3 linked regions of the Elephas maximus indicus genome follow. The protein of the gene in region 2 purifies or fractionates together with the protein of the main gene of each other region. This does not show direct contact. Links are inferred from orthologs where the notes say so. Each region holds a gene or a part of one and is shown on either strand. Other genes may lie near its edges. The genes, in order: MRGBP, bromodomain-containing protein 8 and JAZF1.

What was found.
Region 1: the proteins of bromodomain-containing protein 8 (region 2) and MRGBP purify together in Homo sapiens (affinity purification with mass spectrometry; 10 studies listed by BioGRID and IntAct, counting the BioPlex papers as one, with this or other methods). This does not show direct contact. The link is inferred for Elephas maximus indicus from reciprocal best matches to the Homo sapiens genes BRD8 and MRGBP.
Region 3: the proteins of bromodomain-containing protein 8 (region 2) and JAZF1 purify together in Homo sapiens (affinity purification with mass spectrometry; 3 studies listed by BioGRID and IntAct, with this or other methods). This does not show direct contact. The link is inferred for Elephas maximus indicus from reciprocal best matches to the Homo sapiens genes BRD8 and JAZF1.

What each region holds. Positions count from the first base shown.
Region 1 is NC_064843.1:5,188,891-5,198,859, reverse strand, and holds the start of MRGBP (MRG/MORF4L-binding protein), read left to right. Parts: upstream 1-5,241; 5' UTR 5,242-5,280; coding exon 5,281-5,428; intron 5,429-5,854; coding exon 5,855-5,976; intron 5,977-7,907; coding exon 7,908-7,989; intron 7,990-8,299; coding exon 8,300-8,374; intron 8,375-8,992; coding exon 8,993-9,180; 3' UTR 9,181-9,969.
Region 2 is NC_064820.1:151,247,257-151,257,474, reverse strand, and holds the start of bromodomain-containing protein 8, read left to right. Parts: upstream 1-5,761; 5' UTR 5,762-5,926; coding exon 5,927-5,945; exon of another isoform or gene 5,946-5,951; intron 5,952-5,985; exon of another isoform or gene 5,986-6,004; intron 6,005-7,260; coding exon 7,261-7,357; intron 7,358-10,218. Other genes in the region: kinesin-like protein KIF20A, read right to left, coding at 143-286, 493-561, 656-767, 876-1,070, 1,247-1,376, 1,463-1,650, 1,775-1,913, 2,528-2,647 and 2 more. UniProt on the Homo sapiens protein: May act as a coactivator during transcriptional activation by hormone-activated nuclear receptors (NR). Isoform 2 stimulates transcriptional activation by AR/DHTR, ESR1/NR3A1, RXRA/NR2B1 and THRB/ERBA2.
Region 3 is NC_064826.1:89,341,286-89,351,751, forward strand, and holds the start of JAZF1 (juxtaposed with another zinc finger protein 1), read right to left. Parts: upstream 4,973-10,466; 5' UTR 4,756-4,972; coding exon 4,641-4,755; intron 1-4,640. UniProt on the Homo sapiens protein: Acts as a transcriptional corepressor of orphan nuclear receptor NR2C2. Inhibits expression of the gluconeogenesis enzyme PCK2 through inhibition of NR2C2 activity.

The sequences.
Region 1 (9,969 bases), on a different chromosome or scaffold from region 2:
CCTGCACGGCCTGGCAATAGCGTCTGTTCTGCTCTTTATTTTTATGACGGCTTTACTGAGATAGAATTCACATAATATACCATTCACCCGTTTAAAGTGCACAGTTCAATGGTGTCTGGTATACTCAGGGTTCTTCAACCGTAACCGTGGTCAATTGTAGAATGTTTTCATCACCCCAGATAGAAACCTGTACCCGTTATATTGCACAAGGCAGGAAGCATCAAAAGAAAATGGAAGGAATACATAGTCCCTGAACCAAAAAGAATTAGTCAACGTTCCACCATTTCAGGAGGAAGCGTATGATTGTCCTAGGGTAAAATGGCCACAAGGTCATATTAAAGCAAAAAGAAAGGTTTTATTCGGCCTAAATTCAAAGAGGCAAAAGCAGGAAACGGACACACCTGCTGCCAGAGCCACGTCTGCCTGAGTCTGAGGAATATTACAGAGTAGGCAAAGTGGGAAAACGGACACGCATGCTGCCAGAGCCACGTCTGCCCCAGCCCAAGGAAAGCAAAAGAATCATCAGTAGATATTGTTACAAATGAGTAAAATCATTGAAGGCTTCGCCTTTTCACAAATTGGCTGAAAACTGCTAATTCACAGCGATTCTGCATTTTCAATTGTCTTTCTTAGTAATCATTGGTACGGGTTTCAGTAACAAGAGTCAGGAGGGTTTTCATTAGTCCAACGAGTCTTACTATTTACTAAATGCCAGTAAGAAGAGATAAGAGTGGGAAATATGTAGATCATTTTCCTCTGTTTATGATTTATTTATGTGAAACTTTTCCTAAAAGATATTTTCCAAGATTGTCCAGCTGTTGTCTTTATACCTCAGCGCCCAGCTGATGTGTCTTTGTGAGTCCAGCTCCAGCTGGGCCACATTCTTTATACTCAAGGACAGGAAATAATGGCTCCAATTTTAATCTCCTAAATCGTGATCAAGAACCAATGGTACTGAAGGAAGAAGTCTAAGCTGCACTGAAGGCATTGGCAAAAAACAAGTCTCCAGGAATTGATGGAATTTGAATTGATATGTTTCAACAAACGGATGCAGCACTGGAGGTGCTCACTCGTCTATGCCAAGAGATTTGGAAGGCAGCTACCTGGCCAACCGCCTGGAAGAGGTCCACATCTGTGCCCATTCCAAAGAAACATGATGCAACAAAATGCAGAAATTATTGAACGATATCATTAATATCATAAACAAGTAAAATTTTGCTGAAAATAATTTAAATGCAGTTGCAGCAGTACATTGACAGGGGGCTGCCAGAAATTCAAGCTGGATTCAGAAGAGAAGGCGGAACCAGGGATATCGTTGCTGATGTCAGATGGATCTTGGCTGAAAGTGGAGAATACAAACAGATGTTTACCTGTGTTTTACTGACTATGCAAAGGTGTTCGACTGTGTGGATCATGACAAATTATGGATAACATTGTGAAGAATGGGAATTCCAGAACACTTAATTGTGCTCATGAGAAACTGTACATAGACCAAGAGGCAGTCATTTGAACAGAATAAGGAGATACTGTTTGGTTTAAAATCAGGAAAGTTGTGCATCAAAGTTGTATTCTTTCACCATACCTATTCAATCTATATGCTGAGCAAATAATCCAAGAAGCTGGACTATGTAAAAAAGAGCTCGGCATTAGGATTGGAGGAAGACTTACTAACAACCTTTGTTACACAGAGGACACAACCTTCCTTGCTGAAAGTGAAGAGGACTTGAAGCACTTACTGATGAAGATCAAAGACCACAGCCTTCAGTATGGATTACACCTCAACATAAAGAAAACAAAAATCCTCACAACTGGACCAATGAGCAACATCATGATAAACAGAAAATATTGAAGTTGTCAAGGATTTCATCTTACTTGGATCTGCAATCAACACCCATGGAAGCAGCAGTCAAGAAATCAAGACACGTTGTATTAGGCAAATCTGCAGCAAAAGACCTCTTTAAAGTGTTGAAAAGCAAAGATTTCACCTTGAAGACTAAGGTTCGCCTGACCCAAGCCATGGTGTTTTCAATCACCTCATGTGCATGTGAAAGCTGGACAATGAATGAGGAAGATCAAAGAAGAATTGACACCTTTGAATTGTGGTGTTGGCAAAGAATATTGAACATACCATGGACTGCCAAAAGAATGAACAGATCTGTCGTGGAAGAAGTGCAACCAGAATGTTCCTTAGAAGCAAGGATGGTGAAACTATGTCTCACATACTTTGGACATGTTATCAGGAGAGACGAGTCCCTGGAAAAGGATATCATGCTTCGTAAAGTGGTAAAGTAGGTCAGTGAAAAAGAGGAAGACCCTCAACAAGATGGATTGACACGGTGGCTGCAATAATGGGCTCAAGCATAACAAGGATTGTGAGGATGGCTAAGGATCGGGCAGTGTTTTGCTCTGTTGTACATAGGGTCACTCTGAGTCAGAATCGACTCAACGGCACCTAACCACAACAACAACAATATAAAGGGATGAAACACTGACACATGCTACAACATGGATGAACCTAGAAAACTGAGGGAAAAAAGCCAGTCACAAAAGAATACCTATCGTAGAATCCTATTTATATTAAATTTCTAAAAAGGCAAATCTCTGGAGACAGAAAGTAAAGCAGTGGTTGCCTGAGCATTGGGACAGGGGAGGTTGGGGAGAAATGGGCAGTGATTGATAATGGGTTGTTGTTGTTGTTGTTAGGTGCCCTTGAGTCACTTCTGACTCATAGCAACCCTGTGTACAACATAACAAAACAATACATGTTTGATCAATTTCAGACTACAGAAGTCTGTAAAAAAAAAACTTCCATTTCTTCATCTTTGGCCTCAGTGGTTGAGGCATAGATTTTAATAATAGTCATATTAACCAGTCTTCTTTGTAGGCATATGGATATTGTCATGGATTGAATTGTGTCCCCCAAAAATGTCTGTCAACTTGGCTAGGTCATGATTCCCTTGTATGATTATCTACCATTTTATCTTCCGATGTGGTTTCCCTAGGTGTTGTAAATCTTATCACTATGATGTAATAAGATGGATTATTGGCAGTTACATAGATGGGGTCTACAAGATTAGATAGTGTTTTAAGCCAATCTCTTTTGAGATATAAAGGAGAGAAGTGAGCAAAGAGATGGGGGACCTCATACCACCAAGAAAGCAGCACCGGGAGCAGAGCGCATCCTTTGGACCTGAGGTTACTGCGCTGAGATTCTCCCAGACCAAAGGAAGATTGATGACAAGGATCTTCCTCTAGAATCAACAGAGAGAAAAAGCCTTCCACTAGAGCTGACGCCTTGAATTTGAACTTGTAGCCTACTAGACACTGAGAGGATAAATTTCTTTGTTTAACCATCCCCTTGTGGTGTTTCTGTTATAGCAGCGCCGGATGGCTGGGAGAGATATCACGCCGTCACTGGCAGTGTTGTACTTCAGCATAGCTCTTGAAATGTTCTTTCTGATGATAAATGCAGCACCATTCCTCTTCACCTTGTCCTTCCTGGGACAGTAGACCATATGACCGTCCAATTCAGAGTGGCCGGTGTCAGTCCGGCTCAGCTTCCTAATGCCCAGGGTATCCGTGTTTACAAGCGCCGTTTCCTTTTTGACCAATTTTCCTAGATTCACACTTCGAACACTGCACCTTTAGATTATGAATGGATGTTTGCAGCTATTTCTTCTCATTTTGAGTCGTGCCGCATCAGCAAATGAAGGTCCCCAAAGCTTGACTCCATTTACACCATTAAGGTCGACTCTACTTCGAGGAGGCAGCTCTTCCCCAGCCGTCTTCTGAGTGCCTTCCAACCTGAGGGGCTCAGCTTCCAGCACTATATCAGACCATGTTCCGCTGCTATTCATAAGGTTTTCACTGGCCAATGCTTTTCAGAAGTAGACCACCAGGTCCTTCGTCCTAGTCTGTCTTCGCCTGGAAGTTCAGCCGAAATCTGTCTGCCGTGGGTGACCCTGCTGGTGTCTGAATACCGGTGGCATAGCTTCCAGCATCACAGCAACATGCAAGCCCCCACAGTACAACAAACTGACAGACACGTGCGGGATTCCTTTATATGGCTGAACAATATTCCATTGTACGGATGGACCATGTTGTGTTTATCCATTCATCAGTTAGTGGGCAATTGGGAGGTTTCTACTTTTGGCTACTATGAAAAATGCCGCTATGACCATTCTTGTACATGTTTTTGTGCGGACATGTATTTTTCTTCTCTCTTGGGTAGATACCTAGAAGTGGAATTGTTGGCTCCAACGGTAATTCTGTTTAACCATTGAGGAACTGCCAAAACTGTTTACACAGCAGCTAAACCATTTTACATTTCTTCAGCAATGTACTAGGGTTCCAATTATTCCACATCTCTGCCAACACTTGTTTGTTTCTGGGGTTTTCTTTGCTATTTTTTGTTTGTTTGCTTTCTTATTCTAGCCATTCTACGGATGTGATGTGGTATTTCATTGTGGTTTGATTTGCATTTCCCTGATGCCTTTTAGCCATCTATCTATCCTATTTGGAGAAATGTCTATTCAAATCATTTGCCCATTTTTTAATTGGGTTTTCTTTTTATTATCGAGTTGTAAGAATTCTTTATGTATTCTGGATATGAGTCCCTTATCAGATATAACTTGCAAATATTTTCTCTCACTCTGTAGGTTGTGTTTTCACTTTCCTAATGATGTTCCGGAAACCCTGGTGGTGTAGTGGTTAAGTGCTATGGCTGCTAACCTAAAGGTTGGCAGTCCAAATTCGCCAGGCGCTCCTTGGAAACTCTATGGGGGCAGTTCTACTCTGTCCTATAAGGTCGCTATGAGTCGGAATCAACTCGACGGCACGGGTTTTGGTAATGATGTTCTTATTTTATTTTATTGTGTTGAAAACAATACATAACAAAACATTCGCCCTCACAACCATTTCTACATGTACAATTTAGTAACATTGATTACATTCTCCAAGTTGTGCAGCCATTCTCGCTATCCTTTTCCAACTTGATGCTCCTCTTTTTTTTTTTTTTTTAGCGTTCTTTTTAAAATTGTGCTTTAAAAACAAATCCCCAAATTATAAGTGTCACAGCGCCAGTCCCCGCACACGTGGGCGCTGCGCCGCGGCAGGCTGTCGCCAGGGGGCGCGGCTGGCGCGCACCGCGCCCAAGCAACACTGCGCCTGCTCAGGGCCAGAGCGCGAGCCCGAGCGCGTCCCGCAGTCGAGCGCGCGCCTGCGTGTGCGCCTGCGCGGAGCGAGGCCGCGCCTCCCGCCGGGTCAGCTCGGCCGCCGGCCATGGGGGAGGCCGAGGTGGGCGGCGGCGGCTCCGCGGGCGACAAGGGCCCGGGAGAGGCGGCCACCAGCCCGGCAGAGGAGACAGTGGTGTGGAGTCCCGAAGTGGAGGTGTGCCTCTTCCACGCCATGCTGGGCCACAAGCCCGTTGGTGAGCGCGCCGGAGGCCGCGGACTCGCGTGGGGGCGGGGCGGCAGGGTAACCGTCGGGGGCCGGAGGGCGGGGCGGCGGCGGACCCACCCCACCGCGCGGACCCCCCCCACCGCGCGGACCCCCCCCCACCGCGCGGACCCTCCAAACCGCGTGAGCCCCCTCCCCACTGCACGGACCCCCCCAAACCGCGCGGACCCTTCCACCTAGCGGGCCCTCTCCACCCGGCCCCTCCCGCTCATCCCTGCCCTTTGCCACTGTGGATCCCCCCTTGTACCCCCCCACGGACCCCTTCCCCTCCTGTTCCCCCCATCTCTGTCCCCCCACCAGCCGTTGCTGTCCCAACCACAGACACCTGCTGGCTTCTCCTGTCCAGCCCGTGCCCCTTTCTTCTGCCCCCTTACCTGCTTCCCAACGCCTCTGGCAGGTGTGAACCGGCACTTCCACATGATTTGCATCCGGGACAAGTTCAGCCAGAACATAGGGCGGCAAGTCCCATCCAAGGTTATCTGGGACCACCTGAGCACTATGTATGACATGCAGGCACTGGTGAGCTTTGACCCCTGATCGTCCTGTGTATAGAATCAGAGCTCTTCATCCCAGACTGAGCTCAGACTTCCTTGCATGGGTAGCTGAGGACCCCCACAGGACAGGCCCGGCCCTCATGCAGTGGACAACAGGGCATTAAACAAGGGCTCTCTCGCAATAGGGCACCCAGTTTGTGGAAACCAAGCTTGCTGGTGGAAGCCAGTCCCTGGTGGGCCCTGGGGTGGGTCTTCCAGCACCAGGCACTCAAGTGCAGGCAGCGTAGCTACCTGGACTGCTAGCTGAGCTCAGGGAGAGGCAGCAGCATCGCTAGTCTGTGGGAAGTCCCGGCGTGCTGCAGGCAGGAAGGGGACCTCTGTGGCTTCTCATGGAGCCAGCAGAGCTCATAGCTGGCAGCCAAAGGGCGAGTGGGTTAACTAGGGAACCAGGACGGAGCTGCACTGGACAGGGCGGGGTTATCAGGTGACCAGGGGAGTGGGCACCTCTGCTGGTGCTGGGACCCACTGTGCCCCACGCACTGAGTTGGGTGCACCAGCCCCTGGCCAAGGCCTGGGCAGCACATCGGCGAGGCCGTGAACATATTGGCCTTTTTGGGTTCAGGTTCTGCTCTTCCACTCACTGCCGGTTGTCCTGGGCGAGTTCCCCTCTTCCTAGTTGTGAAGAAGGGAGGAAGATGGTAGCCATGCTGCTGTGGGCTGCTGTAGGCAGGGGTGTGAGTAGCCGGTCGTGGGCACAGGGGAAGCTTTAGTTGCTGTTACTGCAAGTGACTGAGCTTGGGCACTGGTCACTTATTCCTTGTTACTACTCTCTGGGTCAGTGGCAGGCCACACCCTGCCACTTCCAAATGACCTAGGGTGCCGAGGGGTCAGCAGTGCCCAGATTCTCCCCACTCAGCAGAGCACGGACTCAGCCAGGCTATGAAGGCCCCGGGCCTGCCCTCTCGACACCTGCCCTGTAACACCGTAGGGTGACCTGTGAAAGGTAGTGGGGGCACCAAGCCCCAACCCTGGGCTAGCAATGGTAAAAGCTGGGGCTCAGAGAAGCCTATGCAGCACAGTCCCTGTCCATGGCCCGCTCCTGAGGTGGGCTTGGCTCAGGATCACAGTCATGTGAAGTCAGGCCCGAGGCAGCCAGGCTGTAGAAACCGCCCCTGTGAGCTCAGGGGGATAGGGAGTGCCAGCCCCTCCCCTCCCTGCCTTATTCCTGTAATGGCTCCTTACGTCACTGGGGGAGGGAGACGTGGGGATGGTATCTGTTCTAGAACAAGGACCACACAGGCTGACTCCAAACCACCAGGACCCATCCCGGCAGATGGATTTCAAGGGCCCGGAGTCTGTGGGGTTTTTGGAGTGCACAGGTTTTGATTGGCACATGTAAGCCTGCAGGTGTGGGCAGGCTACCTGGCGGAACACAGCCCACCTCCCAGGTCAGCCAGGACTGTCCCACCAGCCCATCTTTCCCTCCCGTCTGGTGGTCCTGCCTTTCCAGGGTCTCTGTCCCTTCTGGGACCCATGGCCTAGAGGACAGGAGAGCCCCGATCAGAGTCCATTGGTGAGTGTGCTCTGCTGCTTTGCCTCCTTACCCCTGAGAGGCTTCACCCAGCTTCCCTGAGTGTCGCCCACGTGGACAGAGGTGGCAGCACTGTGTTCTGTCAGCCCCTCCCTGCCCTCTGCCCTGCACTCTGAGTCGGCTGTGGTCTGGCCAGCTCTTGGGTGAGCAAGCTGTGAGCCAGTTGTGCAGCACCTACAGCGTTGCCTCTGCCCTGGCTCTGGGAGTGTGTTAGTGGGTAGGCTGGGCCGCTCTGGGTGCTACTTGTCCCCACCCCCAGGACACTGGGTGTCTACATTCATTCGTTGCTCCTGCATACACTTTTAATGGCTGAAATCACATTTTCTTCATTTCTTAAAAAAACATTACACCCTCTCTGACGTCAGCATGAGTCCGAGATCCTCCCCTTTCCAAATCCAGAGAGGAACTTCGTCCTTCCAGAGGAAATCATCCAGGAGGTCCGAGAAGGTAAGACGCAGGCCACTGAAGTGGGGTTTGGAGACTAGTAAAAGGCGGGAGCTGGCTGAGGGCGGCAGCACTGGGTGAGGCCACGTGCCAGGGAGGACCAGGGTCTGGGAGGGGAGTGAATGGGTACTTAGGGGCCCCGCTCAGCCTGGACTTGGGGGCCAGGGGACTTCCACAATAGGAGAGGGTTCTTTCCTTGAAAAGCGGTGCGGTAGAATCCGTGTGCCGTCTGCAGCGTTGGCTGGCCTTGCCCTGGCTCTGCTGCTCACCGGGTGAGCCTCCCCCAAGCAGGGCCGTCGGTCTCCCTCCACAGGAAAAGTGATCATTGAGGAGGAGATGAAAGAGGAAATGAAGGAAGACGTGGACCCTCACAATGGGGCTGACGATGGTGAGTGTGAGCGGTGTGCATCCCCCACCCCAGAGGACAGGCACAGCACCCCTGTGAGGCACCCACAGCGTGGATATGCATCACCGCTTTCCTCAGCAGGAGCGTCAGCTTGCTGGCTGACCCCTTTTTAATGCTCTGGCTTAGTATAAACGTTGGCTCCGACCTGCAGGGTGGGAACGCTGAGGTGCGGTGACACTGTCACAGCCATCTGGGGCCAATAGGGCAGCAGCACAGCCTCAGTTACTGGTCGGGGCGACGTGGTCTGTTCAACATAGAACACAGACAAGACAGCCCCACGGGTGTTTCCTGTGCAGCTGTGTGAGCGCGGTTAGAGGGTGCAAGGGGTGAGGCTGCTGTCATGTCTGTGGCAGAGTCCTTGAGGCCTGAGGCCCTGACGGTGGGAAGGCTTGCTCAGGCCCCTTTCGGGCAGAGACCGCAGCTTGGTAGAGACTCTGGAGAGCTGCGTGTGTATGTGTGTGTGTGTGTGTGTGTGCACATGTGTGCGCACGCATGTGGAGCACTTGAGCTGAGCAGGCAGGCGAAGCGAGAGTCTGGACCTTCTGTTTCCAGCGTGACTGGCACTTACAGCCGAATTTTTCTTTTTTTTTTTTCAATCAGTATTTTCATCTTCGGGAAGCTTGGGGAAAGCAGCAGAAAAGTCCAGCAAAGAGAAAGAAAAGAACTCCTCAGATTTAGGATCCAAAGAAGGGGCAGACAAGCGCAAGCGCAGCCGGGTCACCGACAAGGTCCTGACAGCAAACAGCAACCCTTCCAGCCCCAGTGCTGCCAAGCGGCGCCGGACATAGACACCCCATGCTGGGCAGCAGCAGAGAGGTGGCTACGGGTGGGGGGGGCGGAGGGAGTGCAGTCAGCGGGGGTCATTGGGCCCCAGCACTGACCGTCTGGTGCTGCCTGCATCAGCACCGGGGGACGTGCCATCTGGCCAGGGAAGCGGACAGAGGCTTCATGGTGCCCACTGAGACTCTGGGGACTCTGTAGGACCCTGAGGGACTCCAAAGGACGAGGGACAGCTCACCTCAGATCTTGAGGGCTGCACAGGGGTCTCAGCTGTCTTCTCCTGCGTGCACGTTGCTTCCTGGGACGCCTGCTTAGCTCCTGCCTGGGCTGCTGCAGAGGGCCCCTGAGGGACCCCTGTGGAGCAGGGTCCGGACAAGGAGAACGTGTTCGAGCTGGCAAGCAATAAAAATGCCGTTTTCTCTCTGTCCTCAGAAGTAGCCATTAGTCTTCCCCGGGGACTGACTCCTCCTCCTTTGTTTTTCCGTCGTCCGGAGCCTCTCGTTCCACAGGGAACAGCATCAGGAGAAGCGGCCTCGGACATGGCCTCGGCGCCCTTGATGGTGCCACCTTTGCACCTAAGAACTTTGCCTCCTTCACTTGTACTGTAACAATGTATATAATTTGGTTGGCATTTCACTATTTAATTTTTAAGAAGACTATTTTTACTAGTGTTTTATATGAAAAAAATAGCCACAGACGTTAAACCTGTGTTGTATTTTTCCTGAGATGTTTTCTTTTAAGGCAATGAGATACTGAGATACTTTTTGCTCAGTTTTTATATGCCAGATATGGAGAAT
Region 2 (10,218 bases):
ACAGGGAAACAGAATAGTGTTTTGAGAAGAATTCTAGTCATTTGGGTATCCCAGCACTATCCCCAGTGGTGACCAGGAAGTGTCTTAGCAAATTGCAGAGCTTCAGGCCATCCTAACCCATAGCTTACAGTCAGGAGCTCACCGGTTCTGCTGGTTTTGGCGCAGGGCAGCAATACAGCGGCCAAGAGTATGCAGAGAAGTGTTAATGTTTCCTGCTTCCTTTAGCCGATCACCACTCTTCTGATCTTTGCAGCGCTCTGTGCCAGCCAGATCACAGAGTGACAACCTGGAATGATGGACAAGATTTAACATAAGGATCCTATATGTTATGTGCCTTCCAGCCCTTTATATAGTTCTGGAGAGGGGAGGGCCACCAAAAGTCTCTGTACCAAAGAAAGGAGAGCATAGGATCTACCACAAGTAATTCTGAGGGCCTCCCTCACACTACCATTTAGGGCCACGAAGCCCAAATTTCTAAATAGTCAAACTTACTCGCTGATCTTGGGGATTATATCCCCTTCTCCCTGGAGATGCAGGATTCGGATTGAGAAGATGCTATGACTGAAAGTTAAGAAAAGGGGAAAAGTTCCATGACTAGACGGAAGACATACGTTTACTGGAACACAGTGAAGGTTGACTCTCAGAACCCCCTCACCTGCGGCTGGAGTTCTGGTTCAGGAGGGTGCTGGCAAAACTCTGGTTCTTACGACCCACTTTCAGGAGTTTCCAGGCTTCCTCAGCATCCTGAACATGAATCCAATTGAGATCTGAGGCCAAAGGAAAAAAATGTATAAGATGGGAGCACCCAACTCTTTCCCTAGTTCTTCCCTCAAGTCCACTACAGGGTTCATGCCAGCCTCCCCACTTTCCCACACCTTTCACGTAGGGATTGCCGTTCTGATCTTCACACAACCGTAGAGTCTGTCTCTTGCGCTGCTGGCTAGGTGGTTCTAACAGGTCATAGATCAGCTCATTGTAGATCTCAAAGAAGGATATCCAGATGGAGAAACGAATGTCTGCTGGGACACTTACTGGGGCAGTGTCTGGCTGTGCCCATCGGTGACTTGTTTCTGGGGAAGAAGCCAACGTACAGAGCATCAACCCTAGAGTGTCCATCTCCCCTTTGGCCTGGGGATCCTTGGAAGGCAGAGCTCAGGCTGCAACCTCTGGTTTGTACCCCTGGCAGCTGCTGGGAACAGGGAATGGGTTCCTGTTACTTGGCCAAGAACCCAGTTATGGTACGTACCATCCAACTGGCTACTGCTGGTCAACTGACTAGTAGAGGAGAGCCCAGCAATGCCACTATCAAAGCTGGTGCTGGTACCCATCCGACTTTCAATGTAGACACTTCTCTTCAAGGAGGTGGACAGCTCCTCCTGGAGAGGCCCGGGGAAAAGGTTAAGCACAAAACTTTCCAGAGATTTGTACCACTACCCCACCTCTATAGACACCAACACTTCACCTCTTGGAGGCCTCCATTTAGCAGGGCTAGCTTCTTCATTTCTTCCTGCCGGATCTGCTTGCTGTCTAGCCAGATTACCTCATTGGAGAGCAAAGGCTTCAGATCAGGCGTCAGATGAAGTTGGCCTTGGAGGCTACTGAAGATCAGAGCCAGGGACCGGGGCAGGATCCCTCCATCCTTGATGGTCCCTAGAGGTTATGTGAAAGATGGACAGCTGAGGTAAGTGCCTTTCTCCCCCTAACTCACAGCATCGAAAGCAAAGACAACACCATTACAGGACAATCAGCAATCCTGTGAGGCCTTACCACTTACCTTGAATTGTGTGGGTTTTCCCTGAGTTGGTGACTCCATATGTATAGATGAGCCGGTTCTGCCCTCTGAGTACATCCTTTACCATCTCCTTCATTGTCAGGTTGAAGAAGGATGCCTGTCCCACTTCTGGCCCAAAGATCTAGAGACAGAACCAGTTCTTCAAAGGCCCATCCTTTATCTACCACTTGTCTCCTATGCAAACCCAGCAGATTCATTCCTTCCTGGGTGGTGGCTCTGGAGTCCACTTAAGCAGCTTCCTCCTACACTGCTACCAGCTGCTCCCTCAACACTGAAGATTCAACCAGTCTCTGTTACTACATCTTTCAGCCAAATCAACAGATACTTAAGGAACGCTGTACATTAGGTGCAATGCTGCACACACAATGGGGTAGTGTAACGGTCACAAAGGCGAGTTTTGAAGATGGATGGATTTGGATCCAAGTCCTAGCTCTACCACCAACTAGCTACATGGTTTTGGTAATGTTACTTACCTTCACTGTGCCAGAGCATCCTTTTCAGGAAAACAGGGACAATAATAGAGTTGTGAATAAATGCACATATAGTACTTGACAGAGTGAACTAGCAGATAACACAGACCCCCCAAATTGTAGGGGTGTATAACGGTGTTTCATAATGGTGTGTGTGTGTGAATACCCACAGACAGAGAGTGAGAGAAAGAAAAGCTTTCTTTCCAGAGAAAACAAAGTTGCCTCTACATGCTGGTCTCTTGTTCACAGCCCAGTACTTCCATACCTGGGAAAAGGTGAACCTGTGGGTAGCTTGGCCAATCCCACGTTCATTGCTTTTCAGGGCAAAAGAGTCCTTGGGTGCTTGTAGAACAAGAGTCTCTGCGTTCTCGATGTGGATACAACTCTGAGAAGGGGGGAAACATGGTTGTCACAGAAGGAAAAATTCCTGGGAACCTCTTCTGTACTGTATCATTCCATCTTGAATTGTCCCTCCTCAGACACTTACCTGATCCTCCTGCCGTTCCAACTCTGAAGGTAACAAGGGTCTGATCCTCAGGTATACTTTCACCTTCTCTGTACTATCCTCAGATAGAACCTGTGGCAGAATTCCAGCCCGGAACCACATTAATCTCAGCTGTCACCTCTGAGCAGATGGACAAACACAGCATAGTTCCTAGGAATCATGCTGGCACTACCCCAAAATTACGGACTTTTTCACTAATCTGTCACCCTTCCCTGTCTCATCAGTATCTTGCAAAACTAGCTTGCAAGATAATTGCTACACCAATTATCTGAGTTAGAAGTGGTGCACCAGGATAGTCTGGTAGTTTACAGTGAGAGACATCAAGATCCCTGCCTCATGAATCTCTCTATAGGAGAGGAGGCTTCTGGGTAGAGTTTTTCTGAAGACAAAACATGTTAACATATGTTAAGCATTTAACATTGGGTCTAGTACAATGGCTGTCAACCAAGGCCTTTCCCTGTCCCCTTGCCCCTGTGGACACTTAGCAGCATCTGGAAACATTTTTAGTTGTCACACTGGGGAGGTGCTACTGGCATCTACCGGGTTGCGGCCAGGAATGCTGCTGAACATCTTACAATGCACAGGACAGCACATCCCCCCCCCACAACAAAGAGTTATCCAGCTACCAACAATAATGTGGTTGAGAAACCCTGGCCTAACAGAAAGAAGGGTTCAATAAAAGGAGCCCTAGTGGTGCAACAGTTAAGCTCTCAGTTGCTAACCAAAAGGTTGGCGGTTTCAACCTACTCGGCAGCTCTGCAGCAGAAAGACTTGCTTCTGTAAAAATTATAGCCTAGGAAACTCTATGGGGCAACCAAAAACAATAACATGGTTGATATTATTAAAACATGAGTATAAGTTCCACCTACTTAATGGTAGTATAATCTTGTGTGAATAATTTAACATGTATGTGCCTCATGGTAAAAGAGAAATAACTATTATACCTCCCTCACAGGAGGAACTAAGAGCATGCACATAACATTTCACTGATGCAAAACAAATACTAGTTCTTATGGACATATGCATGTGAAAGCTGGACAATGAATAAGGAAAACCGAAGAACTGATGGCTCTGAATTATGGCATTGGCAAAGAATATTGAATATACCAAGGGCTGCCAAAAGAATGAACCGATCTGTCTTAGAAGAAGTACAGCCAGAATGCTCCTTAGAAGCAAGATGGTGAGACTTCATCTGATGTACTTTGGACACATTATCAGGAGAGGCAAGTCCTTGGAGAAGGATGACGTCATGCTTGGTAGAGGGCCAGCAAAAAGGAGCAAGACCCTCAATGAGATGGACTGACATGGTGGCTGCAAGAGTGGGCTCAAACAAAGCAATGATTGTGAGAATGGTGCAGGACCCAGCAGTGTTTCATTAAGTTGTGCATAGAGTCACTGTGAATCAGAACTAACTCGACAGTACCTAACAACAACATCAACACGGATACATACCTCTATGTTTTTTACTTGTCCTGGCACTTAATTTTAAACTCTCAGACCCCTGTATGGACTAGTAGGCTGGGGTTATCACTTGCTGCCTCCAAACAGCTCCTTTACCTGCTGCTTATCCTCCAGGGAGGTGGAGATGACAGAGCAGTCTGAAAGCAGGTCCTTGCGTATCACAGACCCCAAGTCTGCAGCTGTAGACTCAAACATGGGGGAGACTGCAACCTCCTCATCAGACAGCAAGCCCACTGGCGGAGAAAGGATCCCTTGAGACATGACAGCAAGGGCAGGTTTGGTCTAAAAAGAGACAAGAGTGGATAGGGAGAAGAACCTTAGGGACAGAAGGGGCCTGTGAATTTCTAGGTAAGAAACAATGCCCTTGCCCCAGGACACCTGGTCTGGACGCCTGAATTCCTACTGCCTTTTCTTTCCAAGGAAACCCTGGTGGCATAGTGGTTAAGTGCTACGGCTGCTAACCAAAGGGTCGGCAGTTCGAATGGGCCAGGCACTCCTTGGAAACTCTATGGGGCAGTTCTACTCTGTCCTATAGGGTCGCTATGAGTCGGAATCGACTGGACAGCACTGGGTTTCGGTTTTTCTTTCCAAGGAAACCCTGGTGGCTTAGGGTTCAGAGTTCGGCTTCTAACCAAAAGGTCGGCAATTGGAATCCACCAGGAGTTCCCTGGAAAACCCGTGAGGCAGTTCTACTCTGTTTTACAGGGTCACTATGAGTTGCAATCGACTCGACGGCAACGAGTTTGGGTTTTTTTGTTTTTGTTTTTGTTTTTTTTGCTTTTTCTTTCCAAAGTCTTGCAGAGGGAAAGGGGTGGGAGGAGTTAATTCCTTAACCCAGTCTCAGGCGGCATTTCCATCTTAACAGAAAAGAACAGAGATATCTGGCTCTAAAAGCAGAGAGCCACGCTCCAAGTGCAGTGCCTCGCCCTCCGATACTGTGAAACACGGGCGGAATCCAGAGTTAGGATCCGGAGGCTGCTTCTCCAAACTCGCCCCAAGGCCAATCGTGAATGTAGAAGTGTTCAGAAACAGAGAGATGGCAGCAGCTCCGCTCCTGAAAACACGTTCAGGGAGGGCAAGAGTTGTTAACCCCGGTTCCAGCCCAGGCGCACACTTACCCGAAAGCCGAGACACTCGCTCCCGCTCCGGTACCAGCTTGCTCACACACAGCAGCCGAACCTGGACCTGCGCCGCGGAGGACCACGACTCCGCCCACGAGGCGCAGCTTTGTTACTGATACAATGTTTTAAATTACGCGCTGCGTTCGTTCGACCAATCAGATAGCAAAGCCTGCAGTTACCAATCAGAGCATGGAAGGAGGGCGGGCGAGACTAGGAGACCGTTTGCTTTAGGTCGACCTCGCTTCGGTTTTGCGCGTCCGGGTTACCAACTGCCGCGAATCTGTTGTTGGGTCCCCAGGGATTCGTCACCCTTAACTGTTTTCTTGAACCCTAGACATTTCTTTCCTAAGAAGTCTAAAGGAAAGCCTGAGGTTTCAGCCGCCATCTCCTGTCCTTCCTTAGCAACACCTTCTGAGGAGCGCTCCAGAGGATTGGATTATTGTGCTTGCTTCCTCCCGGGAAAGAACTACATTTCCCAGGAGCCACCGCGAACAAGCGCCCGTACTCTATTTCCCAGACTTCCACAAGGTTCGCTTTGGCTGAACCCTCGTCGGAGCTTGGAGACTTCGAAGCTAAGATGGCGGCGGGAACGGGCAGTGAGTGTCAGTGCTTCTTTTGCGTGGAAAGCCTTAGTAGAGCCGAGGATAGGCACCAGGTTTCTGTCACACACTTAGAGAGTGGGAGGAGTGGTTTGCCTGAGAGCCCAGGGTCTTCAGAGACCTGCGCTGTACGGCGTCGTGAAGGCCAACGGTTAGAGGCCCAGAAGTGCAGCGTCTTGTGTCTCTGGGAGAGAGGGTGTGAGGGAAGCATCTCAACGAATCCTAAAGGGATAAAGGCCCTTAAGAAACTTGGGCGTGCAGACAAAGAGACGTTGTGCGCCTTACGGAGTGGCCGGCATCTCAAAAAATCATTCATTTTTTAACGAACGTTTGTGAGGCACTGGAAATAAGATGTTTTAACCGGGAGCTTTTTCTGCCTTTAGGGTAATTGCGTTTCGTGCAGCTCAGCCATTTCCCTCCGTTTGGTGGATAGAAAAGGTCTTTTAAGTCCCACAGTAAACAGCGGGGGTGGACTGACAGAAATAAGCAAGTTTATGCTAAAAAGGAGGCGGGGCGGCAGGAGGAGGTGGCCGTTCAGATTCTGGGAAGTAAGCCCTTGTTTTAAAATTGGAAGAAAATATGAGTGAAATAAGGCCTTTCGAGAGAACTGCTTAATCTGACATTAATGTTTTAATCTGACATTAATGTTTTAATCTGACGTTTTCTGTTTTTTAATGAAGCGAAGCTTGAAGCTGTGGCCTTTAAGAAAGTAAAGTGTTCTTCTGCCTTATTAAAAACTCATTGCCATTGAGAAGATTCTGACTCATACTGACCCTATACAACAGAGTAGAACTGCTCCACAGGGTTTCCAATGCTATAATCTTTACAAAAGCAGACTGCCACATCTTTCTCCTGTGGAGCTGCCTGACCTTTCAGTTAGCAAGAAAGTGCTTTAACCACTGTGCCAACAGGGCTCCTTCTACCTTATACTCAGTGCAGCTACCATGTAATGGATAAGTACCACTCTCTAGTGGTGATATTTCACTGTATGGGTGGATATCAAGATTTGGGAATACTGTTGCTGTGGAGATGATTCTGACTCATAGTGCCCCTATGGGACAAAGTAGACCTGCCCCATAGGGTTTCCAAGGCTGTAACCTTTAGAGGAGCAGATTGCCACATCTTTATCCCGTGAACAGCTGGGGTGTTAGAACCATGGACCTTTAGGTTAGCAGCCCAGTGCTTATCCACTGCACCATAGTAGCCCATTTTGTTCTAACACGTTGGGATGTTTTGTATTAGGCCTTTAGTTCTCCCTTTGGGGCTTAGAACTAGTGTCTCAGTGGTTGTGCTAAGCCTTCTCTCCTTTTAGAACACAAGCTGCTGAGTACTGGCCCCACAGAGCCATGGTCCATCCGGGAGAAGCTGTGTTTGGCATCTTCTGTTATGAGGAGTGGAGATCAAAATTGGTAAGGTATCTAGGAGGTATGTTTTTTTAGGTCTTAAAAACTGTAGGATACTTTTTCATGCTGGTGGATTTATATAGTTAATCATATTAACCTTTAAGTACTATTTTTCTTTTTAAAAAGCACCTTTATTGAGATGAAATTCATATACCATAAAATTAATTCATGTAAAATATACAATTCAATGATTTTTAGTATAAGCACAGAATTGTATAACCATCACCACAGTCTAATTTTGGAACATTTTCATTACCCCAAAAAAGGAACCCTTTAACAGTCACTCCACATTCCCACCTTCACTCATCTCTTCTAGTCCTAGGCAACCACTGACATAGTTTCTGTCTTGATAGGTTTCCCTATTCTGGGACATTTCATGTAAATGGAGCCATATAATATGTGGTCTTTTTTTGTGACTGGCTTTTTTCACTTAGCATAATGCTTTTAAAGTTTATTCTGGTTGTAGCATGTATTAGTGCTTCATTCCTTTTTATGGTTGTGTAATATTCCATTGTATGGATATACTACCTTTTTTTTAATCCATTCATCAGTTGGTAGACATTTGGGTTGTTTCCAACTTTGATTATTTTGAATAGCCCTGCTTTGAACATTCTGTACAATTTTTTGTGTAGACGTGTTTTCAGTTCTCTTGACTATATATGTAGGAATGTAATAGCTGGGTAACTGTATGTTTAACTTTTTAAGCAACTACCAAGCTGTTTCCCAGAGTTGTACCATTTTACATCCCCATCAGCAATATATGAAGGTTGCGTTTTTATCATATTCTCGCCAACAGTTGCTGTTGTCTTTGATTATAGCCATCCTAAAGGGTAAAAAAGTGGCATCTCATTGTGGTTTTGATTTGAGTTTCCCTGGTAACTAATGATTTTGAGCATCTTTTCAGGTGCTTATTGGACATAATGATGGGGCCCCTGTGGTGCAGTGGTTAAGTGTTTGCCTGCTAACCAAAAAGTCAGCAATTCGAATCCACCAGCTGTTTCCTGGAAACCCTGTGAGGCAGTTCTACTCTGTCCTGTAGGGTTGCTATCAGTCGGAATTGACTTTACAGCAACAGGTTTTACTTTGGTATTAGACATATGGCTATCTTATTTGGAGAAATTTATTCAAGTCCTTTGCCCAATTTTTTTATTAATACAGTTTATTTTTTAGAGTAGCTTTAGGTTTGTAGAATGTAAAAATGGCATGGGAGCAGACTCTGACCTCTTCACTTTTCACAAGGGGAAAGGAGAATCAAGATCAACAGTCCAAGGCTGATTGCTATGAGGTGGAGGTCAGTCATGCCTCCTTTATCTGCCATCTATACCATTTCTGTCACCAGCCATCTTTCCCACAGCACTTTCTACTTCTCTCCTGGGTTTAATAGTTCATTGCAGTGGCCACACAGAACTCACAGACAATGCATACAATTTGGGGGTTTATAAGGGAAGTAACAGGTTATAATTCAGGCTTAGGAACACTCAGGATACAGTTCTTCCATCAGGACAGCCACTTTTCAGCTGTGCTTGCAGTCGTACCCTCTGGCCCTGGGCCTCTGCTCTGCTCAGGCAAGGGTTACAAAGCTCTTTTAGCCCCTACCCATAAATCCCAGAGGCACCCAGGTACTCAGCATTCTTGCCATATGAACTGGGAAGCCCGCTGCACAGTCTACTGCTGGTCTCTCCTGCCACCACTTTTTGCCATCTTCAGGGTTACAACTTGATCGCTTTCTTTCTATGTCTCCTGGTTCCAGGAACTTCTCAGCACAGGGATCCCGGGTCCAAAGGATGTGCTCTCCTCTCCTGGCTGTTCTTTCTTGGTGGTGGTGGGATCCTCTCGTTGCTCTGGAATTGGCTCTATTTTAAGGCAGAATTGGCGAATCTCCTTGGTGGGCCACAATTACCCTATTTGTGTCAAGAAAGGCCACACAAAAGCGATCTATCGCATCACAAGAAAAATTCCACAGAAAAGCATGCAGATTTCCCATTTTTAATTGGGTTGTTTAAGTTTTTTTTTATTATTGAATTATAAGAGTTTTTAATTCTAGACACAAGTACCTTATTAGACAGCACAATTAAAGATGAGAAGGAACAGCTGCAAAATCTATTTAATAATCAACGTGGAATATACAAAGTATGAATCTAGAAAAATTGAAAGTAAAAAATGAAATGGAAAGCTTTAAAATAGATATCCTAGGCATTAGTGAGATGAAATGGACTAGTATTGGCCATTTTGAATCTGACAAACATATGGTATGCTAGTATTGGCCATTTTGAATCTGACAAACATATGGTATGCTCTGCTAGGAATGACAAATTGAAGAAGAGCGGCGTTGCATTCATTGTTATTTATTCATTGCATTCAAGTACAACATTGTCAATGACAGGATAGTACCCATATGCTTACAAGGAAGACCAGTTCAGATTTACACTCCAACCGTTAATGCCAAAATTGAAGATTTTTACCAACTTCTGCAGTCTGAAATTGATCAAACATGCAATCAAGATGCATTTGATAATTGCTGGTAATTGGAAGGCAAAAGTTGAAACAAAGAAAAATCAGTAGTTGGAAAATACGGCCTTGGTATAGAAACGACACCAAACAGCACATAATAGAATTTTGCAAAACCTTTTTTCAACAACATAAATGATGACCATATATGTGGCCCTCACCAGGTGGAATACACAGGAATAAAATCAAGTACATCTGTGGAAAGAGACAATGGAGAACCTCAACACCATTAGAACAAAAGTAGGGGCTGACTGTGAACAGATCATAAATTGTTCATGTGCAAATTCAGGTTGAAGCTGAAGAAAATTAAATCCATGAGAGCCAAAGGACAACTTTGAGTATGTCCTACCTGAATTTAG
Region 3 (10,466 bases), on a different chromosome or scaffold from region 2:
TCAGTGAAGTGAAAGTTTAAAGGTAAGTATCATTAAAAGTAGCTTCACTTATTTTTCTTTCCAGAAACTCAAACCTAATTAGATGGCTTATAAAACTGCTCTATGAAACGATTCAGCTTTATTACATGGGTCCCGGGGGATGAGAAAACTAAGAAGTAGAGATGCACCATAAGAGCCTGCTGACATTTAGGGTCAAGAGCTACTATATCATAGCTACTGCAAGCCATAAAGAAGCCCCTATAGGAAGATCTGAGTCAATAGCAAATGTGTGGCTCCAAACATCTGGGGGAAGTTCTAAATGTCCTTCTAGTTTAGCACAAGAATAACTGAATTGGGTCAGATTCCTGGAAAGCAATATGGCCTATCTTTCAGTCCAAGACACACAATCCTGCCTTGGGGCCTTTTGCACTGTCTGTTCCCTCTGCCTGGACTACATTGCTCCCCATTATGTCCTCATGGCTAACTCCTTCACCACCTTCCTGTGAGCTTCCCAGAGAGGCCTATCCTGGCCAACCTATTTACAATTCCAATACTCCCTCCTCCCAAACCCCCTTTACCCTGCTCAGCTTTCCTCCTTCCCATAGCACCAACCACCCTCCAAAATACTGTATCATTTACTTCTTAGGCTTATTGCTTATTATCAGTCTCCCTCCACTAGAATGTGAGCTTCCCAAACGTTCCTATCTTTTTCTGTTTTGTTCACCAATAAATACCAAGTGCCTAGATCTGTGCCTGGCACAAAGTAGGTGCTCAATATATATTATTAAATAAATTCAAAATGCAGAAGTACTTTTACAAGCATAGCCTTTAAATAATTCACCAAGTAAGAATGATTAAACAGGTTGTCTTTCTGAGACCAAAAGCCAAATGACTTCATAGCACTGGGATGCAGGGACACAGGAGGCATTTCATGAGTCTGTGACATGACCTTCAGGGCTAAATTTAGTGCTCTTGGTGTTTCTATGATTCCTGGTTACCAGTTTAATCTAGGATGCACATGTCAAGAGTGTTCCTACAACCTCAAGCATCTACTCAGTCTAAGAAGCAAACAAATCCTGATCAGCTTTTCTTGTTGACAGTGAAGCTGGAGGGAGAAGCACTTCACAGTTCTAGGGCTGGGGGATTTCCGGATGGGGGGGAGGGGGCTTTAGCTGGGATACTCAAGCTGTACACAGAGACAGGTGCTTCAGCACCGGACCAGCAGTGAAATGCAAAGAAGAAAGGGAAAACAGATAAAGCACTCTTCCAGGAGAAAGGAAAACAGCTAAAACAGAGGGTGGGGAAATCACACTTCCCTTGGTTCTAAAGCCCCAAATCCTCGTTTCTTAATGGAACAGGAAAATGGTTAAAAACATGAGCTTAAGTGTACATGCATAACAGAGACAGCTACCCTCAACTTAATGAACTTAATATATCTAACTGTTAATGTAGTTATAGTGAAAACTTCAGGCCTTGAAAAATCAAGAAATATGTACTATTCCCATAAACCTTCATTTTACTACTGCTTATGGATTTTGACTAGCGGTTAAAAGGTAATAACCAGAAAGGTCCCAAAGATGGAACCCTCACCTAAGTATATCTCTAACACTGTTATGATTGAGTGTTAGGTTCCTGAATAAATTAAAAGGCCCTGGATTGTGCAACAACTAATGCGAACAGCTACTAATGGCACCTCGAAAAAAAGCCCTGCCAATCTACCTCTGGAAAAATCAGCCACTGAAAACTCTATGGAGCACAGCTCTATTCTGACCCAGGTGGGGTCACCAGGAGTCAGAATGGACGCAAGGGTAACTGGTTTTGAATAAATTAAAGACAAAACAATATACAACTCTTAACAGTCTTTTCATGCACCTTCTTAATATGCCACTCCCTAATAATGACACCCAATCAGTAATATTAATTACGAAATGCAACCATCAATTTTCTCCAAAAATTTAGAGACTGATCCAGAAACAGTAAATACTACATAACACATGGATAGAACTTTCACTAAACGCTTTGTCTGATATATTTCCACTCAAGTCTCTTCATTGAAAGTGTATCTACATGGCACTACCTACCAATCAGCTTGTTTTTATTCTTCTTGAGACAAGTTCTTATTTATTTTTGCATATGGGGCTACCTTTAAAGGTAAGGTGCCTTTCCTGGGCTGAGGTACACAATAGTTTGTTGTCCTCTTCACCCTGATAACCTCAAGTGTTTGCTCATTTTAACATTTACTTTTCATAAAGTCTGGCAGTTTCAAACTGTTTCCCAAACATAATAATTGTAAGCCCTGCCCACAGTATTGTTAGTTATTGCTATAAACATAATTTTTTCACATTTTAACTATTAAAATAAAAACATTAGCCTTTCAGGGGGTGACATACCATTATTTAAAAGTTGAGTTTTAGAAAATTTATGGAACTCCTAGCCCTCTTAAAACGTGTTTGCACAATATTAAAGACAATGCTTGCAAACAAAAAGAAAAAAAACTCTTGTGATTCACCAACAACTAGTTTTAAAGGGTCTAAGATTTAATTTTTTTTTTGTAAGATTTAAATGCTCAAGAAGGATGACTACCTTTAACATATTTTAATAAATGTAATTTAGATTTTCTTTTAACTAGCTATTCCACGTAGGCAGGCAATGGGCCAAAATTATTACCTTACATAAATTAGTTTGTCCTGAAATAACTGTTATGGAAAATGAATGGGATATGCAATGACAGCCTTCCCTGGGGCAGGAAATATTTATTATTATTATTTTTATTTGTTATTGGCTGATGGGGAATAGAGGAAGGAATTCGAAATAACAAAATTTCTATTGCAATTTGCATTACTGGAGTTTTAGCATGATTTTAAACCAGATATCATGAAAACCTGATTTATTCTTTCAAGCACTTTCAGTATGACCATTCGATCATGATATGAATCAGCAAATGTGTTACTCCATTAAACTCCTGCTTTTATTTAAGTCTACCAAAACTCACCCAGCTTTTCTGTCACGCCTTTATCAGAGAAGATGGATGTTTTACAACTTTGAAAGTTTCAAAACCTGGATAATTACTCACACAATTTTCTTTTAAAAAACATTTTGCAGATATTTTCCTTTATTATTTCCCAATCCGATGGCCCATTAAATCGCACTCTAAACCGGCATCCAATGCTAATTAAGCACCCACTGTGCGCAAAGAGAAAGCATTATCCTAAGCAAAGGAGCATACGCTCTGCTTCATTTTACTCGTGCCTAAATACACAGCAGTCGTGATTTATTCTCTCCACTTGGTAGAAACGTGAGGTGCATCCCCACAGCTGAATCCGTAGCATTGATCTGGAAAAGGCTTTCCGGGGCAGTTTACTGGTTCCCTGGATTTCACAGCCGCCATGGGGCATCTCGCGGCCCTTCACCTTCCAGCCCCCGCAGGACAATTTGCGGACGCCGGCCACACCTTCCGCAGGTGGCTGGGTCGCCTGGGCCAGACAAGCCCGGCCCATCTCCCTTCGCAGGGGTTTCAGATGGACACGTGTGAATGTGCGCAAGGACTTGTGCGAATTAAAGGACTTGTTGAAGGTTCGCGGGTTCTGGGCGTGAAGCGAAACCACCCGCCCCGCGGGGCGTCCCCTCCCCCGCGTCCTCTGAGCCCCGGGCGCTGCGCAGGCCGCCGCCGCCGCCGCCAATCCCTGGGCACAGCCGGCGCTCCTCGGGCCTAGTACCATTTGAAAGGCAAATCGCAGAACCGGGGCGCATTTAAATGCCCAGCCGCTGGCCCCGGGGGATTTCTCTCCAGCGGAGGCAGCCGCCGGGGCCTCCGGCGCAGCCCGGCCCCGGGGCGCTGGGCGCGGCCCGCCGTGCACCCGGACCTCAGCCCGCAGCTCCCCCGGCGTCCGCCCAGGCCGGGGCAGGGAGCCGGCGCCGAGGGCGCCCAGCCCCGCGTCCCCGACCTGGCGAGCTCAGCTGCCGCGGGGGGAGAGGGCGAGCGCCCCATCCTCCGCGCGCGGCCGCCGGCTCAGGCCCCCTCCCGACACACCACACCTAGCAACCGGCGCTGACAGGACGCAGTGGCGGCGGCGGCGGGAGGAGGAAGCGGAATGGCTGCCGCGGTGGAGCCACCCCCGCCCCCCCGCTCCCACCTCCCGGCGGCTGCAGCCGCCGCCGAGCCCTGACAGCTCGAGCCGGGGCGGAAGCAGCAGGCGGCGTGCAGCGCCTACCCCCCGCCGCCCCCGGCGCCTCAGGCCGCTCCGACCGCCGCGACCAACTAACTCCGCGCCCCTGCCAGAGCCGACTGCACGACCCCGCCGCGCCCTGCGCCCGGCGCCCCCTCCCCCGGCGCCGGACCCGCCGCGGCATCTCCCCGCCGCCGGTCGCTCCTCCCGCCCCGGTGCACCCCCACTCCCACACTTCGCAGCCCGCGCGCACGCCCCTCGGACTCCCCCAGCTGGCCCGCCGCACCTCGGGGCGCCCCCTCCCCCACCCACGCCCTGCTCTCCCCGGCCCCGCACCCCGCACCTCCGCAGCCCGCCGCCCCCCGGCTCGCACACACCCTCCCCGCCCCGCCGCCGCCTCCCTCCCTCCCGGCCACCCCTGGCCATTCTGGGGCTTCTCGCCTGGGCAGGAGTTTCTGCGCGCCGGGCACCCCCGCCCACCCCTGGGCCATTTACCGATGTGGTTGTCCTCGATGTGCTCGATGAGGTCGGCCAGGGTGGGGAAGTGGAGTCCGCAGCCCCCGAATCGGCAGGTATTGGAGAAGAAGGAGGCGGCGGCGATGCCTGTCATGGTGCTACATCGAGAGCCCCCCTGGTGTCGGCTCTGTGAGCGCCGGGCGGGCGGGCGGGCAGAGAGAGGGAGGGAGGCAGGGTGGGGTGAGGAGAGGAGGGGCTGGGTGAGGGGGAGAGAGGCGGGGTGAGGGGAGCGGAGAGGACGGGACGGAGGGAGAGGGGGCGAGAGCGATGGAAGGAGCGCGAGGAGAGACCGGGAGGCGGAGGGGAGGCGGCGGCGGCGGCGTCGGGAGCGGCGGGGGGAGGGCGGGGTGGGAGAGAGGCCGCCGCAGCTGGGAGGAGGGACCAGGGCGCGCGGCAACAGCTGTGCGGCCCTAACCTCCGCTGCCCGGACCGAGGCCTCACCTGGGAGCTCCTGTCCCCAACTTTGTCTCGCTCGGCCTGCCCTTCACAGTTTGTAATGCGAACAATTTATTTGGAGCCTTCTTGGTAAGGTGTATTGCGTTCTTAATATATAACATCTCTTAATTACACGTACATCCCGGCGATGAGAACTCAGGGAGTTTCCCCGGATCCCTCTCGGGGACATTTGTTTGCACTTGGTCACCTCGCTAGGTGTGACACTGGCGTTCACAAGGGACCCAGGAAAGGTAATTGTGTGCACCTTACTCTTTAAACCTTCCCTAAAAAAAAAAAAAACATATTCTCTGGAGGTTTGTACTAATTGATTTTAATGAAGTTTCCCTCTAGGCCAGAAGAAAATCTTAGCTTTATTTAAATTTTAAAATAGAGTGCTTCGTCGTCAAATGCATTTGATGCGTTTTACATATGTACCACGTTTGTACTCCCTGATCCTTTTGGGAAAACAAAAACTAAAATAATTTAATTAGCCCACACTATAACATCCCACCACCATGGCAAGGCTGTCACCCTGGGATGAAGGCTGCCCAGCAGAAAGGACCATGCTTTGGTTAAGGCTAGAAGGAGGAGAAACAGGGTCAAGGCACGTACTTACTCTTAATTTAAAAGTGAAGATATTCTTCCAGTCCATGAAGATTGCACTATCCTGTAAGCATTTAATGTTGACCAGCTAAGCACTTCATCTTAATTTGGTAGCTTCCCTGGAAACCAGCATTTTGCTAAGAATCAATTACTTCCTTGTTCCCCACCCCCACCCCAGCCTCAATGGCACTCACAGTTTGATCTGTAAAGTATGTGTTCTCCAGAAGTACTTCCCTTATGCCTGAGAATATTAGGCCTTGTCAGCTGCTTATGATCCAAAAGTGCTTTTTTTACTTGACTCCTGTATACTAAATTTAGCATTTTCCTTAGGGCAAATTTCATTTACCCTCTGGTTCAGATACATTGAGAAAATAGTATTCCCCCCCCATATACTATATTCACCTGTAGTGTTTCTAATAATGGGGTTATTAAGGCTTTTCATTTGAGTATTTAAAGGCACATGTAGTATTTCTGTTGCAAAAAGTTTTACAATCCGACAGCCTTCACCTGTGGCATCCCCCATCTCTTCTGTCTCCCATCTCAGAATGTGGCTAACTTGTGCTGAGATGAGAATTGGGTTGGGTGGGGCTGGAGTAGTTGTGTCCTTCAAGTTCAGTTTGGTGTCCAAGAATGGTTTCCTGGGCCCAGTTGAGGGTGGGTGCAGGGCCTGGGTGGGCCTGATAATGAGCCAGGAACCTGCTCATGGGAGACTGGGGCCATGGCCAGAAAAGGGTCTAAAGAGCAGGAGTTAGAATTCTAGATCTTGAACTACAATTTTGGCTGCTGTGCAATGCATTCAGCTGCCCAGTCTGGAAGGGCCTTCAGCAGAGAAGCAGGCAGACTATCTGGCAGACACACCAAGAGACATGGAAATGCAATGCAAAAGTTTCTCCAGAATGGTCCAAAACAGCCTCCCCTAGACCTGAATGTTAGGCATGTCTACCACAGGGCATCTGAAAAGCACCAAGAAGTAGCAGCTCTGATGTGTGGAGGAAAAACTGTCTATGTGGAATTACTGTCTCCAGAGAGAGTGAGGAGAGGGACAGAGATGGTTCAGACAACTGAGTTCAGGAGGTGGGAAACACGGGAAATGTGCAGGTGAAAGAGGAAGGAAGTATAAGGACTGGGTTCCACTAACGCTTAGCTCTCCTCTACCTGCCATCAATTTCTCTATTCTTAAAATAAAACTTTGATAGAAAATTTAATAAATGGAATTTTTTTAATGAAGTGAGCCAAAACAACTCATAAAATGAATCAAGATTAAATTTGTTCCTTCACCATGAGTAATTATTAATATTTTGTAAATAATCAGTTTATATGAAGTCACCATGTTAATTCTTCATGTATCACTGAAGCTTTGCAATGTAATGTTCTGTTCATATAATTTTTTTTTTGAATCTGCAAACTCTAGGCATTTCTGGCCTTGATATGATATACAAGATCATGGCCTTTTAGATATGAAAGACATTCTGGCCATCAGACACACTGATTTTGTGAATGTGTAAACTGAGGAGGCCAGAGGCATCAAGTGAGTTCTCCCAAGCACACGCAGCCAGTCTATTCTCTGTATTTGTAAAGTGCTCACTAGGGCGTTGTTAGCTGCCACAGAGTCACCACCCCCCACCCACCGTTGGCAACCCCATGCACAACCAGAGCTGACCATTGTGATCCATTGGCTGACTTTTCAGAAGTAGACTAACAGGCCTTTTTTCCTAGACCCTCTTAGTCTAGAAGCTTCACTGTAACTTGCTCAGCATCATAGCAACATGCAAGCCCCCACTGACAGACGGGTGCACGTGGGGTACATTGGCCAGGAATCAAACCGATCTCCTTCATGGAAGGTGAGAATTCTACCACTGTACCACCACTACCCACATTCAGTAAGGCATTGAAAACCCGTTGCCATCGAGTCAATTCTGACTCATAGTGATCCTATAGAACAGAGTAGAACTACCCCCCGCTTAGGGTTGCCAAGGAGCAGCTGGTGGATTTAAACTGCTGACCTTTCGATTAGCTGCCTTAACACTTAACCAGTGTAGGACAAAGATATACTAACCACATTTAAAAAAAAATGTTTTACAATGGCATATTTACCCTTGTGAACTTACATTTAAAAAAATGTCTGTTTCAGGGGTATTTCTTCAGATAAAGTCAATATCTAAGCTATAAGAATATATAAAACGAACACTCCAACCTATTGTGACCAAGAGAGAGTGACGACTGATACACCTCTGTACTTGCAAAAAAAAGGACATTTGTCTGTCTGATTTGAGTAATAAAAATATTTCAAAGAAATTGCTGAATCAGATGGATATTATGGCGGCTGCAGGCTAAAAGTGTTGCCTGGACTTTCTATTTGAAACCATAGGCCCAGACCTATAACGGCCCCAGAGCTTGGTATTTAGCATTACAAATAATTCTAGTCTAGATTCCAGAATCTAGAAATGATTTGGAATCCAGAAGCAGTGTCCCAAAAGTCAGCATGGCCGCCACTGCCCATGGGATGGGGAAGCCACCATTGGATTAGACTGAATCCAATGGTCTGATTGAATCCATGGAAGCCACAGAAGGCTCCTGCTTTACGCAGCTGTCCGACCTCCACCTACAAGAGGAGGGTGATTTAGGGATACGCTCAGAATGAAAACCGTGTACTTCCTAGGCCCGGCACGGAAACCTGTTAGCGCTACGAGAGCATCTTTACGAACATTGGGTTCTTTTTTGAAGTTAACTCTTGATACTGTCTTCAACTCTTGATTTTATCAGGTTTTCTGGGTTGTTTCCCAAGTCCTCTTACGGTGCTTCTCAGGATCACTAGACATAAGCACTGGTGGTGTAGTGGTTAAGGGCTACGCCTGCTAACCTAAAAGCTCAGCAGTTCTAATCCACCAGCCGCTCCTTGGAAACCCTATGGGGCAGTTCTACTCTGTACTCTACAGTTGGAAACGACTAGACAGCAATGGTTTGGTTTTTTTAGACATAAGCAGTCGGTACTGGTGGTGAAGTGGTAGAATTCTCGCCTTCATGTGGGAGACCTGGGTTCAATTCCCAGCCATACACCTCATGCATAGCTACCACCATCTGTCGGTGGAGCCTTGCGTGTTGCTATGATGCTGAACAGGTTTCAGCAAAGCTTCCAGACTGAGACAGACTGGGAAGAAAAGCCTGGTGATCTATTTCCAAAAATCAGCTGATTAAAATCCTATGGATCCACAGCCCCAACCAATTCTGGGGATGGCGCGGGACCAGGAAGCATTTCATTTCGTTGTGCATTAACTTGCCCTGAGTCGAAGGCTGACTAGATGGCAGTTAACAGCAACAACAGCCATAAGTAAGCCGTTTAATGGATTCGGGCATTGCTTTTACTGTGTAGAATGAGCAGACCGTGAACCCAGGTCTTCTCCGGCTAGCGCACGTCTTCATGGTCTCTTCTAACAATGACTCAGGCTACCACCTCCACCACCCTTGGCCTCAGCGGAATGTTTTCTTGAGGCCCCACCTTCTTCCAAGGAGGACGACGACTGTTCCAGTTCCTCTTGTTTAATATTTATGCAACCAAGTCCCCAAATTCTTTGCATTAATTTTACTCCAGCTCAGAAACAAATCAGCTCTTTGGTGATTAATTCTCATTTTGCCTAGAATTAGGGTTGGTCTTAGGTTTTTTCTTAGGTTGGGTAATGGGGAGTTCTCTAGTCGGGTGCCACCAGCGACCAGTTCTTATGGGCATTACCCTTCAGCTCTCTACGGCACTGCTTCTGCCGTACTGACTATATACGTAACAGATGGCATTTCATTTCCAATTCCTTGCAGGATTTCTCCAGAACTAAATTAGTGAAATACCCAGCCAATGACTGCAGTTCTAACTGGGCTTCCTGTGTCCACCACCCTTCTTTAATCTGCCACGCCCGCACCAGGACGATAGCTCCAAACCTAAATCTGAAGGGAACCACTGCTTCTCAGGCCAGGCCAGCCTGAGATTTAAAATAAGGTCATTACAGCAGCTAAACTGTCACGATTTCATTTGCTCATTATCTCGATTGAACATCTATGCAAGGCTCCTGTTGCAGCTTTGACCCACTGAGGTGGTAACTCCTGATGTTGTTGACTGTAAGGGAGCCACTGAGGCACTAATGCTTGTAAAAGACTTCATAGCCTTTGCCCAGAGATGTATCCTTAGGAGTTATCAGTGCCCCCCTAGCATTGCCCAGTGTTGAGGGTTTTCTGTCTCTACAAATGCTGCTAGCACCTTTTTTGTGCCAGCATTTTGAGGTTTTATCACCTCCCACTGTTGCAGTCCTTTTCCTCTAGGACTCAGGCAAGTGTCGACAGAGACTGGGCTAGTTGGGAACACTGCTCCATGATCTCATCCTTCTCTACTGGAATTCCTCAGGGGTAACCTTTCACCAGCAGAATATATTTATCAATGATCTTCATAATCTATTCTCTGAAGAAGCCTCCCAGCCTTACCCCTTTCAGTTCCCGCACGTATATTGATGGCTCAAGCTCTCCCAAATTACTTTTAGTTTTCAAATGCACAGTATTCTCTAGGGACCCCTTTGCACCAGTTATGTCACTTGCCTGGAACATTCTTTTTCCCTTCCTTCCTCTCCCCCAACCAAATACACTTTAGTAACTCAACCTGCTACCTCCTCCAGGAAGTCTTCCCTATATCTCCATACTCTGACCAGCTGGATGCTTATCATCTTTTCTCCAGCCAAACTCCCTCTGCACTGTTTTGACTGTTGGCTTACTGGTCTTCCTTTTTCTCTA